Linked DNA regions of Ovis aries. The protein of the gene in region 1 interacts with the protein of each later gene in a pairwise test. Links are inferred from orthologs where the notes say so. Each region holds a gene or a part of one and is shown in the gene's direction. Other genes may lie near its edges. The genes, in order: NUP62, AGR3 and ISCU.

Region 1 (3,750 bases):
CTGTATCTGAGCCCCACCCACTCCCAAGGGAATTCTCTTTACATTTGGCTTATTTCTCAGAATTCCCAAGACCCAATCCTTCCAAAACAGAAACCTAATGGTCTCCCAGGGGAATTTCCTTAAAGTCCTTCCCACTCACCCCAAATATTCCCTTTCATTTAAAAAAAAAAAAAAAAAAAAACAACCCACACTCAATCCCTGGGGAATTTTCTTCCAGTTACATCTCTTCCTCTAAAATATAGCTTTTAGGCCCCACACCCTCCCTAGATTCCAACTCAAATCTGTTCCCATGGGAATTCCCCCTTTTCCCGCCCGGTCGTCAAAGTTATCCGTTCAAATCGCAGTTCTCCCTTTAAATTTTGGGGCTGATCGCCACTCTCTCTCAAAGTCCCGCCCCCACGGTACATTTTAGCTCCACCCCTCCCCGATGATTCCCCAGAGGCCCCGCCTCTTTCTCAGGCAGAAACCCCACCTCCCTCAGCAAAAGGTTTCGTCAGCCCCGCCCCTTCCACAATGGGTAACCCCGCCCCCAACCCCGTCCTCGGAGACGCCTCTTATCCTAGCTCCTTCCCCTCTACAGGTCGTTTCTAATCCCCGCCTTCTCCCCTGTCAATCTAAACCAGTCCCCGCCCCAGCAGGCGCCTGAATGAAAGGGAGGGAAGATAAGCTCGGCGCCTGAGCAAAGTGGGAGGCGGCTCTCTCGTTGAAGGCTACAGCGCATGCGCCATCTCCCGAGCGGTGCCGTAGCCACCGCCCTCCTGGGGGCCAGTGAGCATGTGCTGCTGCTTAATGCCCGCCCTTAGAGCAAAAAATACAGCCTCAGGTGGGCAGCTGCGCATGAGCAATTGCTCGCAGACAGTCAGGGCGGGGGTGTGGGGAAGCCACCGCGTCTGGGAACTAGTGCGCAGGCGCACACGCACGTGGCTATCCTCTTTAAACACCAATTGTCCGGAAGAACGCACCCGCCCGAGTGCGCATGCTCCGTCGCGCGAGAACGCTCGTCTTCCCTCTTCTGCGCCTGCGCGACCGTGATTCCTCAGTCTCCCCACCCCCCCGGGCTCGGTCGCGAGGGCCGCGAGCTTCGAAAGGGCGGGAAAGGCGGTTGGAGAGGGAGGGGCGAGCGGTTACTCACTCCATGGCTGCGCAAAGGAGAGGCGGCGGCGGCCTCGGCTGAAGGGAGACGGCAGGAGCGGAGAGCGCAGGCGCGGTGAGCGCGGAGACTGGCCGGGGGCACAGAGGGGTCGCGGCTACAGAGCCATGGCCGGGGGTATGCGGGCAGAGGCGGCGTGGCGGTAGAGTGAGGAGAGACCGTGATCTGAGGATGGGGAATGAGGTGGCCCCGGGGACTGGACACAGATATACCGCGGGCGGCGCAGCACGGCCTGCGCGGATCCTTCCGCGCCCCGCCCCACGTGGCCCCAACGCGGAGGCGGGCCTGCACCCCTGCCCTCGGGGATCTGATCCCGGCTTTCGATCCCGGGGGTCCAGGCCTCTCCTTCCTCTTACTCGTGGATCTAGCCCCGCTTTTCTCCCGACTCCGGGGGTTCCGACCCTCCCTTCTCTCTGACTCTGGGTTCCGGCCCTCTGCTCCCTCTGATTCTGGTGACTCGATAATCCGTCTTCCCCGAGACTCCGGCCGGTTCATTTCTCCTTTGCTTTCCCCTGCTTCGCGAATTTCCGGCCAGCCACATGCTACTCTCCTCATCCTTCAACTGCCGTCCCACTCTGAGAACCTTTCCTGTGGCTTAGAACCTGGCGTGAGTCACAGAGCGCGCTCCAGTCAAATCCCAGGCCGGCGAAGGTGGCCTTGGGCAAAAGACCTGAATTCTCTAGCAGCCTAGACAGGAGACTATCTGTAAAACGCGGAGAATAATCAGTTGTACCTGGTGGGGTCATTTGTCAGAATCAAATGAGTCGTTGCCTGTGAAACTGAGATCCCACTTCGTACATGCTCTCTCAACCTCTTACTGTGAGTAGGAAGGAACCCTGGGGCTCGGTGTCACCCCTTCCGACCCCCCTGGCAGGAACCCCAGACGCTAGACCATCCAACACTTGCTAAAAGGTCATCCTTGTGTCTCTTTTACCTCCTCCAAGGTAATTCCCAGCCATCCCCCCCCTTTCCCATTCATAACATGGACGCTCGGCCCCATCTTGGTGCAGCGAGTCAGTTATCACCCTCAGGCTTGTTATCTTTTCTCTGTCTCCTGCCCACCTACCCTCAACGCTTATCCTCAGCATTCCTTTCAGGTCAGTTGGTTCCTTCTTTTGTCCATACCCTCCACCTAAGCTCCCTTTCAGACTGTCCTCTACCTCAGCTCCCCCGACCCCACCATCAATCGTGCAGGTCTGCCAGAAATAGGAAGATCTGTAATCCATTGCTCAAAGAGATGGGACTTCCTAACCATCCCCTCCCGGTAGGCTGGACCCTCCCAGCCCAAGTGGTTGTGGGTCTTTCCTGTGCTGCAGAAACCCATCCTCCGTTCGTCCACAGCAGGACATTACACCTGGAGTTGAGCTTTTCCTGGTGCTTATGAGACTGAATCAAGATCCTGAGAAGACAAGGGACCTTGATCTTCAGAGTTATCTGAGAATGAAGACAGGCTTTTTTTTCTTCCTCTAAGTTCAGATGCTCTTTTTTTTTTTTTCCTTCCAGATTTATTGGGCTATGATTGACATGTAGCACTGGGTAAGCTTAAGGCGTACAGCATAGTGATTTGATTGAACATACCTCATAAATTGATTAGTAAGTGTAGTGAACATTATCTCCTACAGATAGAAAGCTGAAGAAATAGAAAGAAATACATCCTGTTTTCCTTGTGATGAGAACTCTTAGGATTTACTCTTGTAACAGCTTTCATACACAACATATGGTGGTATTAATGAGGTTTATTGTATATTGCATCCCTAATACAGGCTACTCTTGCATACTGGAAGTCCTTCTTGGGATCTGACCACATTCCCTTCACTTTATCCACTCTGCCAGTATTTGAGCTCTTGCCCTATAGGGGCTGTTTTTTACTGAGGCAACAGAGTAACGGTTAAGAGCACAGACTCTGGAGCCAAGTTGTTGGATTCAACCCCTGACTACACCCCACTTAACTAGCTTACTGGCAATTTCCCTTCCAAGTGCCTTGCTTTCCTTAATAGTTCTAGAATCAAATATGGAGTTGAGTTAGTAGAAACATGCTGATGGCCAATGTATGTGGCCATTGACAGTACCTATTTTTTAGTATTGAGGATTAAATGAATTGATCCAGGTCAGGTGCCCTTGGACTAGTGCCTGGCACAGAGTAAGGTGTTACATAAGGGATTCATTGTTACTATTAAGGTGGATATGGTTTATCTCTAGTGCCCAGCAGTAGTGCTTCTAAAGGTCTTTAAAGTAAGGACTGACTGCCACTCCTCAGTGTTGAGTACTAGCGTGTGGGATTAGGGGGGACCATTGGACAGGCTGCTGGCAGTGGGGGCACAGTCATCCCCCAGTCTTCTAGATTATAACTGGTGGACTAGGTAGAGTATTTTTCTTTAACTTTTTGTTTTGGAATAACTAGATTGACTACAAAGCTGCAAAGACAATACAGAGAGTTCCCGGGGAACCCCTCACACAGCCTCCCTGCTTCCCGTGGGCATCTTGTATTATACTGGTGTTTGTCACAACTCGGGAGGCAATGTCAGTCTGTTTCTGTGACCTACCCCCTCGCCCACCCTATCTTCCCCCCAGGAAGCCGGGTTACACTTAGTTTTCATGTC
Region 2 (3,750 bases), on another chromosome or scaffold:
ATAATAGCAAGGCAATGGACATGGTTGTGCTTCATCCAGTCATTTCTATTTATAGACACTGACATTTGAATTTCATACAATTTTCACATGTCACAAATTATGATTCTTTTTATTTTTCACCCAAAAACATTTTAAAATGTAAAAACCACTCTTAGCTCTTGGTCTGCACAAAAACAGGTGGGCCAGGTTTGAAGACTCTGCCCTAGATCACTTTAACAACAATTAAGTCCAAGAAGTAGAACGTGGCGGGGTCAGGTAGATGTGTGTCTGTTGGGGAGGGGGTGAACAGAAAGACAGGCAGTACTGGGGACGGGCAAGAGAAGCTTACTTTCTTTTTGACGCAACTCCATACTTTAAAAATGCTTTTCTGTAATCATAGATTAATTATAAGAAAAAATTTTAAACTATTAGATAAATATAGTATCTAATTACCCGCTTTCCTTTTTTTTTTGGGGGGGGGGTCATGGTAAGGTAAGGGATTTTATACAGAGTCAAATTCTTAAAATGTTAAATTTTAAAACAGCATATTTCTCTTTTCCTCTTTCTCAGAAAAGAAGGGGGGATCTGCTCTCTTCAGCTATTAATTCTAGTTCTGTAAAGAGAGTAAACCTTAGGAATTCCTCTGTTTTATATCTAATCTCAAGCCTCACTGACCTTTCATCGAGAACAATAGTGCGCACACAGTTCCGACATTCAGACCAGTTCCTCCCCTCCCACCACCCCCCTCCCCCACCTTTTCCTGGTGTTGAACTCTAGCCAAACATTAAATTACCCTGGGAAGTAAAAGGTGGATGAAAAAAAAAAAGTACAAAGGTGGTATTTGGCCTCATTCTATCAGGACACTCGATCTCAATTTAGAGAAAGAAGACTCTTTCTTTCTTAGTGTGAGAGGCTAAGAACTGGAGAACAGCACAGATTTTTCAGACAAGCCCATTTTTGTAAGTTTGCAGGTGGACTGTGCTCTTGTTTCAAGGCAGGTGGGGCTCTAGTTCAGGTGTGTGTGTGTCTATAAATCCACACCCATTTTTAACCAGAAACATCCAGAATACACTTCCAGCAAGAGCACTGACTATTTCAGGTAAGCAAGCAAAATTTCCAGATTATTTAATCAGTGGTCAAGCTCAGTTGTATTTAAAGGATCACCTTTTCACTGTGTAAAACTGAGGCCTTCAGTAAGTCAGAGGGAAGTTCAGCGAAATTTTTCTTCTTTTAATAAATGAGATTTTCTTTGTTGGCTTCATACTTTCGTCAGGCGAGCGTAGGCTCCTCAGTTTTTGTCTCGTCACAAAAATTTGGAACGATGCTTTTATTCTCTACTTGTATTAATGTTACTATAATAAATTAACATTGATCAAAAGTGACCCTTTAAAAATTATGCTGCAAGTAACAATTGTTCCTCTGTTTTCTTTTTTTAATTTTCATATTGAAGTATAGCTGACTTATAGTATGCAAATTTCTGCTGTACAGCAAAGTGATCCAGTCATAAAGGACATATACGTAAGGAATATAAAGAATATATACATATATATACACATTTTTATTTTAAATATTCTCTAAGGGGCTCTCTTCCCCAGGAAAGAGAACGGAGGGATGGAGTGAAAGTTTGGGCTTAGCAGATGCAAACTTATATATAGGATGGATAAACAACAAGGTTCTACTGTTTAGCATAGGGAACTAATTTTAATATCCTGTGAAAAGAATGTAAAATTTCACTCCCTCTTTTCTTTTACAGAGAATTTTTAAATATTTAAGTAAATGACATACGTTAAATTACTTTTGAAAAGTAAAGTACTGTCAGAAAATGCTGCCAGTGTTTATAACACCTAACTGTAGACATGTGGTTATTGGCCTCCGAGTGCAGTGTGAGCTGCTCCCAGCACATGACCACATCATGTTCATCTGTGTCCCCCAATTAGATTAACCCAGGCATCTGATACTAGAGGATTGTAAGTCATCATGTTCTATTCACCAGGGAAATGACTACTCATCCGAAACAGTAATATATAAATTGACTGTCTTCATTATAGGATATATTTAATACCTCTTTTACAATTTATCAGTGTCAAACAGAAAACAAATACTTTCATTTTTTTAAGTAGAACACTCTGACAATTATACCTAATAACTTGAAATCTGAAAAAAAAAATCAGTTCCTATTTAAATTTGGCAGCTTTAAACTAAGAAAAAGGTGAAGTTGTAACTTTTTTGCTAGAGATTCTACCTACTTATTTCTGTCTATATCATAAAGAATTTTTTCTCATGCTTCCTCCAGATTAACTGCTTCTTAACTCCTTGCTTCTAAAGATACCTGGAAGAATCTTAAGGCAACTGGGGGCTTTCTTCCCCAGAAAAGAGAATAAAGGCTCATAAAATTTTACAGTCAAATTCAGAGACTTTGAGACTTCAGGGGCTCAATCACAGATCACCTAGAAGCTCCCTGGACCCAAGTTAAGACCCTGCCTTAGATGGTTGCTTCCATTTCTACAGCCACTTTCACCCCAACAAAGCCTGCCCTCCCCACATTGGACTCTGTGTTCAGACTCAACCATCTTTATCCCCTCCTGAAATCTACCCTTCCTTTGTTCCAACCTTTACAGTACACGATGACATCCATAAGGTAAAAGATGGCATTCTGAAATGTTTTACAGTATTACCAAGTTATAAGAACTTAAACTGTGATACTTATCAGCACCATGATTATTGTTTAACAGGGTTTCTCAATACAAAGAAATTTACAAGTGAATCCTTTCCAGATTAGGAAAGAAAATAATTTAAATAGAACCAAAGCAACCATTTTCAATCCAGGAGAGAACCGAAGGGATGCACCACTGGCAAGAGAAAGATACTGAAATGGGAGGCCTGATTTTTAAACAGGGCAGAGTTGCACACTGAAGGGCAAAAGGCTGAGTAAACGATGGGAGGATAAAGATAAAGGACTATCAAGGAACTGAAAAACAAGAACCTCCATATTCCATTTTTCCTCCCATTTCCATTTTAAGCACTAATTTTTCATGCCTCATCTTACTGTCTTGGTATAAAGTTAAAATGGTGTTTTAATCAAAAGGCAAAGATTATTAATGCATGACACTTGTCACCTTCCCACTGCATTCAGCAGGGGCAAGCCCTTTAATCAACATGATTTTATCTGAGATTTAAAGCAGCACTGTAAGCACTCAAAAGCTGTCAGAAATAGGCTTTGGGTGACTATTTGGGTGTCAACGTCATTGTACCACCCACAGGAAGCCCAAACACTGTGGCTTTTCATCAAGTGGACTTTTATTGAATTGACTGCATTTTTACAATAATTTAAAAATAAAATGTGAAAGTTCTAGATGGTTGTACCATGTCAACTCACACAAGCAAAGCAACCTGTCAGCCTAAGTTTGGTCTAACTCTTAAAAAATGTCTTGATGACAGCCTGAGGTAACCTACTAGATTCTGATATTTTTTACCATCCAGTTCTGAAGGATTCTTGAGAAGACATGATGTCACACTCAGCTCTGGTCCTCTGCCTCTTATTCACCACAGTTTCTTCCAACCTTGCCATTGCTATCAAAAAGGAAAAGAGACCTCCTCAGACACTTTCAAGAGGTACTGGAATTTCATTTTATTTTCTAAACTCAGTCATTTGGATTGTTTTAAAATTCTTCATCTCTTGCCCACAGTCTAGTTATAAAACCAACTCAATTAACTGGAATTTTTTGTTGTGCATTACTTGAAAACAGGGGAAAAAGAACTCCAGAAATTATC
Region 3 (3,750 bases), on another chromosome or scaffold:
CCGGGTCCTCACTTGGCCGCCAAAGACCCGCAGTAGTTGGAGCTGCCCGCGGCGCGCGCCTGGTCAAAATCCCGCCCGTCTGCCACCTGAAGAGAAACTATGCGCCTCGGATGACATGGAAATCTCGAAATACACGAGATTCATGTTATTTTATATACTTTCAGTAGCTCTTGTTCGAATAAAAAAGCTCACCAACAGGGCATGCGTTTCGGCACAACGTCGGACAGCAGTTGGGTCCTTAGGCAGGAAGTGGAAGCCATAGAGGCAGCCACTGAGTGAGCGTGATGGTTGTAGTTAAGGGTTTGGCGCCATCTTGAGAAGGTCAAAAATGATTCTTGGAATAAATATCTTACCACCTAGTCTGACCTGGCGCGTGAGTCAGTCTCCCCAGCAACTGAGCCTCAAACGCGCAAAAAAGTCTTAAGTCCTCAGGGAAGGATCGATTGCACCATTCATGAGAATAACTCATTTCCCAGAGATTCCTTCTCTTTATCTAATGCCTGGCGCCTAGCACTTAAATACACGTGAGTTTTGATTTTATAGGATCATATTCTGCAAACCAGTATCAATAAATTACATTAATAAATATTTACTTAGAATCTCTTCATTGCTATATCTTGTGATTTAATCTGTGCCAGTTTGCTTTTTAATAGAGACATAAACATATACAATTTTTAAAATCAGAGCAAAGTATTCTTTCCTTTAGTTAAGCTTCTCACTTTAGTGGTAGAAAAGCCTTGGTGGGTCTATTTATTGCCTTGCTCCCTCAGTAGCAAGCTTAATTGTGTCGTCTTGGGTTGTTTTCCCAAAGCACCCTGACAAAAAGTAGATACTCAACACAAGATTTGCTCAATGGATGAAGAACTGTCCTTGAATTAGTACAAAAAAGATCGAGGTTTACAATGACACTATGTTTCACTTAGCAGCACACAGCCAGTTAGGAGCAGAAATGGGATTCTAACTCAGGACTGTTCAAGTCAGAATCCCAACTGGGCCCCTCTGGGCAACCTAGGGCAAGTTACTAAACCGTTCTGATCCTCAAATTCCTAAGCTGCAAAATAGAGCCAAGAAGGGTGGACTGGTTGAGCCTCTGCGCCGAAATAGGCGGTGGGGCTTTGTCAACGCAAAGCTGGGTCCTGATTTCCTGCTCAAGGATCCTCAAGATTCAGAACCCAGCTCGGTGGACCAGCCCTCGAACGATTTCAAACCTTTAGGCTCCGCGCCGCGGGAACAAAACGGGGACACGTGAACGCAGCGGGAGGGCGCAGGCGCAAGGTCGCCGGTACTTTAGAGGGTGCGCGCTCCCAGCAGGGAGCCGACTCGCGCACGCGCCCCTCCCCTCGGCCGCGCGCTCCACCTGCGCAGGCGCAAGCCCTCAAGATGGCGGCGGCTGGAGCGGGCCGTCTGAGGCGGGCGGCGTCGGCCCTGTTGCTCCGGCCCCCGCGCCTGCCCGCCCGGGAGCTCTCAGCTCCCGCTCGGCTCTATCACAAGAAGGTAAGAGCGGCCCGGGGGTCCGCACCGGGCGGGGGGGCGGGCGGGAGTGCGAGGACCCCCCAGAGGACTTAGGGGTCCTAGCGGAAGCCCAGCCTAGTGGCCCTCCCCGCTCTGCGCGGCCCTGGAACCCCGACTGCAGCCCAGGGCCCTGGCCGCCCCCAGCCCTGGATGGAGGGGCCTTCCTCTCAAGAGGCCGCCTCGAATGGCTTTCCCTCGCTGCGCTGGGGCGACTAACCGCGCCTGAAACAGGAATGACAGCTCCCGCTAGCCTAGCGGCAGCTGCCCTCAATCTGAAACATCCATCCGGCCTTTAAGCCTCTCGGCTGCCCAGGAAGCAGGGTCCTGCTCTGTCCGGGCTAGCCGGACACACAGCGGCCGAGTGACCTTGGGCGAGTCACTGCCCCGCGCTCGTCAGATGGGGTCTGGGCAGCGCCCCCGGACGCGAGTGCATTGCCTGCGGAGTCCTGGGCAGGGCGCTTGGCACAGGGAGGCCGCTGAGGGTCGGTGTTACTGTTGCAGGAGCTCAGAGCCTCCGAGTGGACATGGACGTGTAACCAACAGTCGTCACGTTTTTGTGTTTGTTTTGGTTTGGTTTGGGGGTGGTGGGATGCTGTGAGTTAAGACAGGTTGGGTAGTTGGCAGCCACATGAGACGTGTCTCGCTTGGGAACCGGTTAAGTAAAAAAAGTGCGATAAATCAACCCCGGGGCAGAAAGTCGAAACTGGATATTATCTTACAGATCCTTGGACTTGGAAGTCAAAATCCGTGGTCGGATAGGTCGGGGGAAGGGGACTGGAAGTTCGGAATACTTAACGACTAACTGGGAAACAAACCGCAAGGTTTTTAAAGCCTCGCATGTGCCAGTTTGAATAGATGTCTACTCTGTTCTGGCTTCCACGCGTTTGCGCACAGACCTCACTCCCCGCGGACCCAGGGCTGTATATTGTTGACAGTACACGCGGAATGACCTGGCGCGCGCAGCCTTTCCGCCACCAGAGCGCGCTGCGGCACCGCAGATTTCAGGGCCCCGAAATACAGTCATGGTGGTTATTTATCACCACACACAAATGGCTGTATTCCATAGCCTTGTTCCTCCCGTAACAATCTCCATGAGGCTTCTGGGACCATACAGACGTGTAGGTTTTTGCATAGTAATCATTCTTTTGAGAATGGATTTTCTTCCGAAATTACACAGGTGCTGTTTGAGCCCAACTCTGTGACTTGGGTGGTTAGAGGTCAAGTAATTAGTTGTGGTTCAAAACCCCACAGAATTAAGACATGATTTTGCTGATTTTTCTCCAGGATCCCCATATCTCTTAAATCCTGCCCAAGTGAAATTTGGTATTTAGTGATGGCCTGCCAGGTCCAGCTTGCTGACTTGAAGGAGCTTGCCATCAAAGTCGGGGAGATGAACAGCAAAAAAGAGTGACTGTGATTTCTCTTCACTCTCATTTCAGGTTGTGGATCATTATGAAAATCCCCGAAACGTGGGGTCCCTTGACAAGACATCTAAAAATGTTGGGACTGGATTGGTGGGGGCTCCAGCGTGTGGTGATGTCATGAAATTACAGGTACCCCTGGTTTCCATCTTTACTGGTGGTAACGGTGACCCCTTTGCTTGAACGGTGTTCTGTAGTTGACAGAGCATTTACATGTCCAGCATTTCCTCTGGTCCCCATCTTGATTCCTGTGAGGTGGGAGAAGTCAGTGTTACAAATGATTCCAGCAGGGGCTGAATCCTAGTCCTCCTGGTAAACTGTGCTGACCCCTTCTGACAAAATAAACAGATCTCACGTTCATACTCACTGTATCAGTTAGCTATCCCCAGAGGGACGGGAAATGCCACAAATCAAACTCTGCCTGCCCCGGTGGAAGCGCCCGGCACTCTGGTAAACCATAGCTTTCTCCACATCTCCTTCGTCACTGTGGTGGGAAGCTGGCCAGGCGGCTTCATGCGTATCTTGGAGAACAGAAGCAAGGCAGGGAGGAACACACTGCATGCAGTTTGACGTCAAAGGGGAAAGCACCAGCCAGTGACCTTCACTGCCAGCTCTGGCAGTGCTTAAAGGCACACACTGACCCAGCAGCTGGGAAGCCAAAAGTCAGGCTTGGGAGTGGGAGGAGACTGGGCAGGAGGCACACTTTGTGGCTGATCTTTGCCAGCGAGGCCTGTATAATTCTGTATAGTTGTTCCTGCTTGCAACTTTTCATTGCTGAACTCTTTGAAACAGAGGGGCCTCAATAATCAACGCCCAA

Evidence for each region.
Region 2: the proteins of NUP62 (region 1) and AGR3 interact in binary tests that used the Homo sapiens proteins (3 or more experiments, as listed by UniProt). The two-hybrid records come from large-scale screens. The link is inferred for Ovis aries from reciprocal best matches to the Homo sapiens genes NUP62 and AGR3.
Region 3: the proteins of NUP62 (region 1) and ISCU interact in binary tests that used the Homo sapiens proteins (3 or more experiments, as listed by UniProt). The two-hybrid records come from large-scale screens. The link is inferred for Ovis aries from reciprocal best matches to the Homo sapiens genes NUP62 and ISCU.

What each region holds. Positions count from the first base shown.
Region 1 is NC_056067.1:55,999,708-56,003,457, reverse strand, and holds the start of NUP62 (nuclear pore glycoprotein p62), read left to right. Parts: upstream 1-1,126; 5' UTR 1,127-3,750. UniProt on the Homo sapiens protein: Essential component of the nuclear pore complex. The N-terminal is probably involved in nucleocytoplasmic transport.
Region 2 is NC_056057.1:26,341,602-26,345,351, reverse strand, and holds the start of AGR3 (anterior gradient protein 3), read left to right. Parts: upstream 1-1,032; 5' UTR 1,033-1,078; intron 1,079-3,459; 5' UTR 3,460-3,482; coding exon 3,483-3,591; intron 3,592-3,750. UniProt on the Homo sapiens protein: Required for calcium-mediated regulation of ciliary beat frequency and mucociliary clearance in the airway. Might be involved in the regulation of intracellular calcium in tracheal epithelial cells.
Region 3 is NC_056070.1:64,528,914-64,532,663, reverse strand, and holds the start of ISCU (iron-sulfur cluster assembly enzyme ISCU), read left to right. Parts: upstream 1-1,369; 5' UTR 1,370-1,380; coding exon 1,381-1,494; intron 1,495-2,951; coding exon 2,952-3,065; intron 3,066-3,750.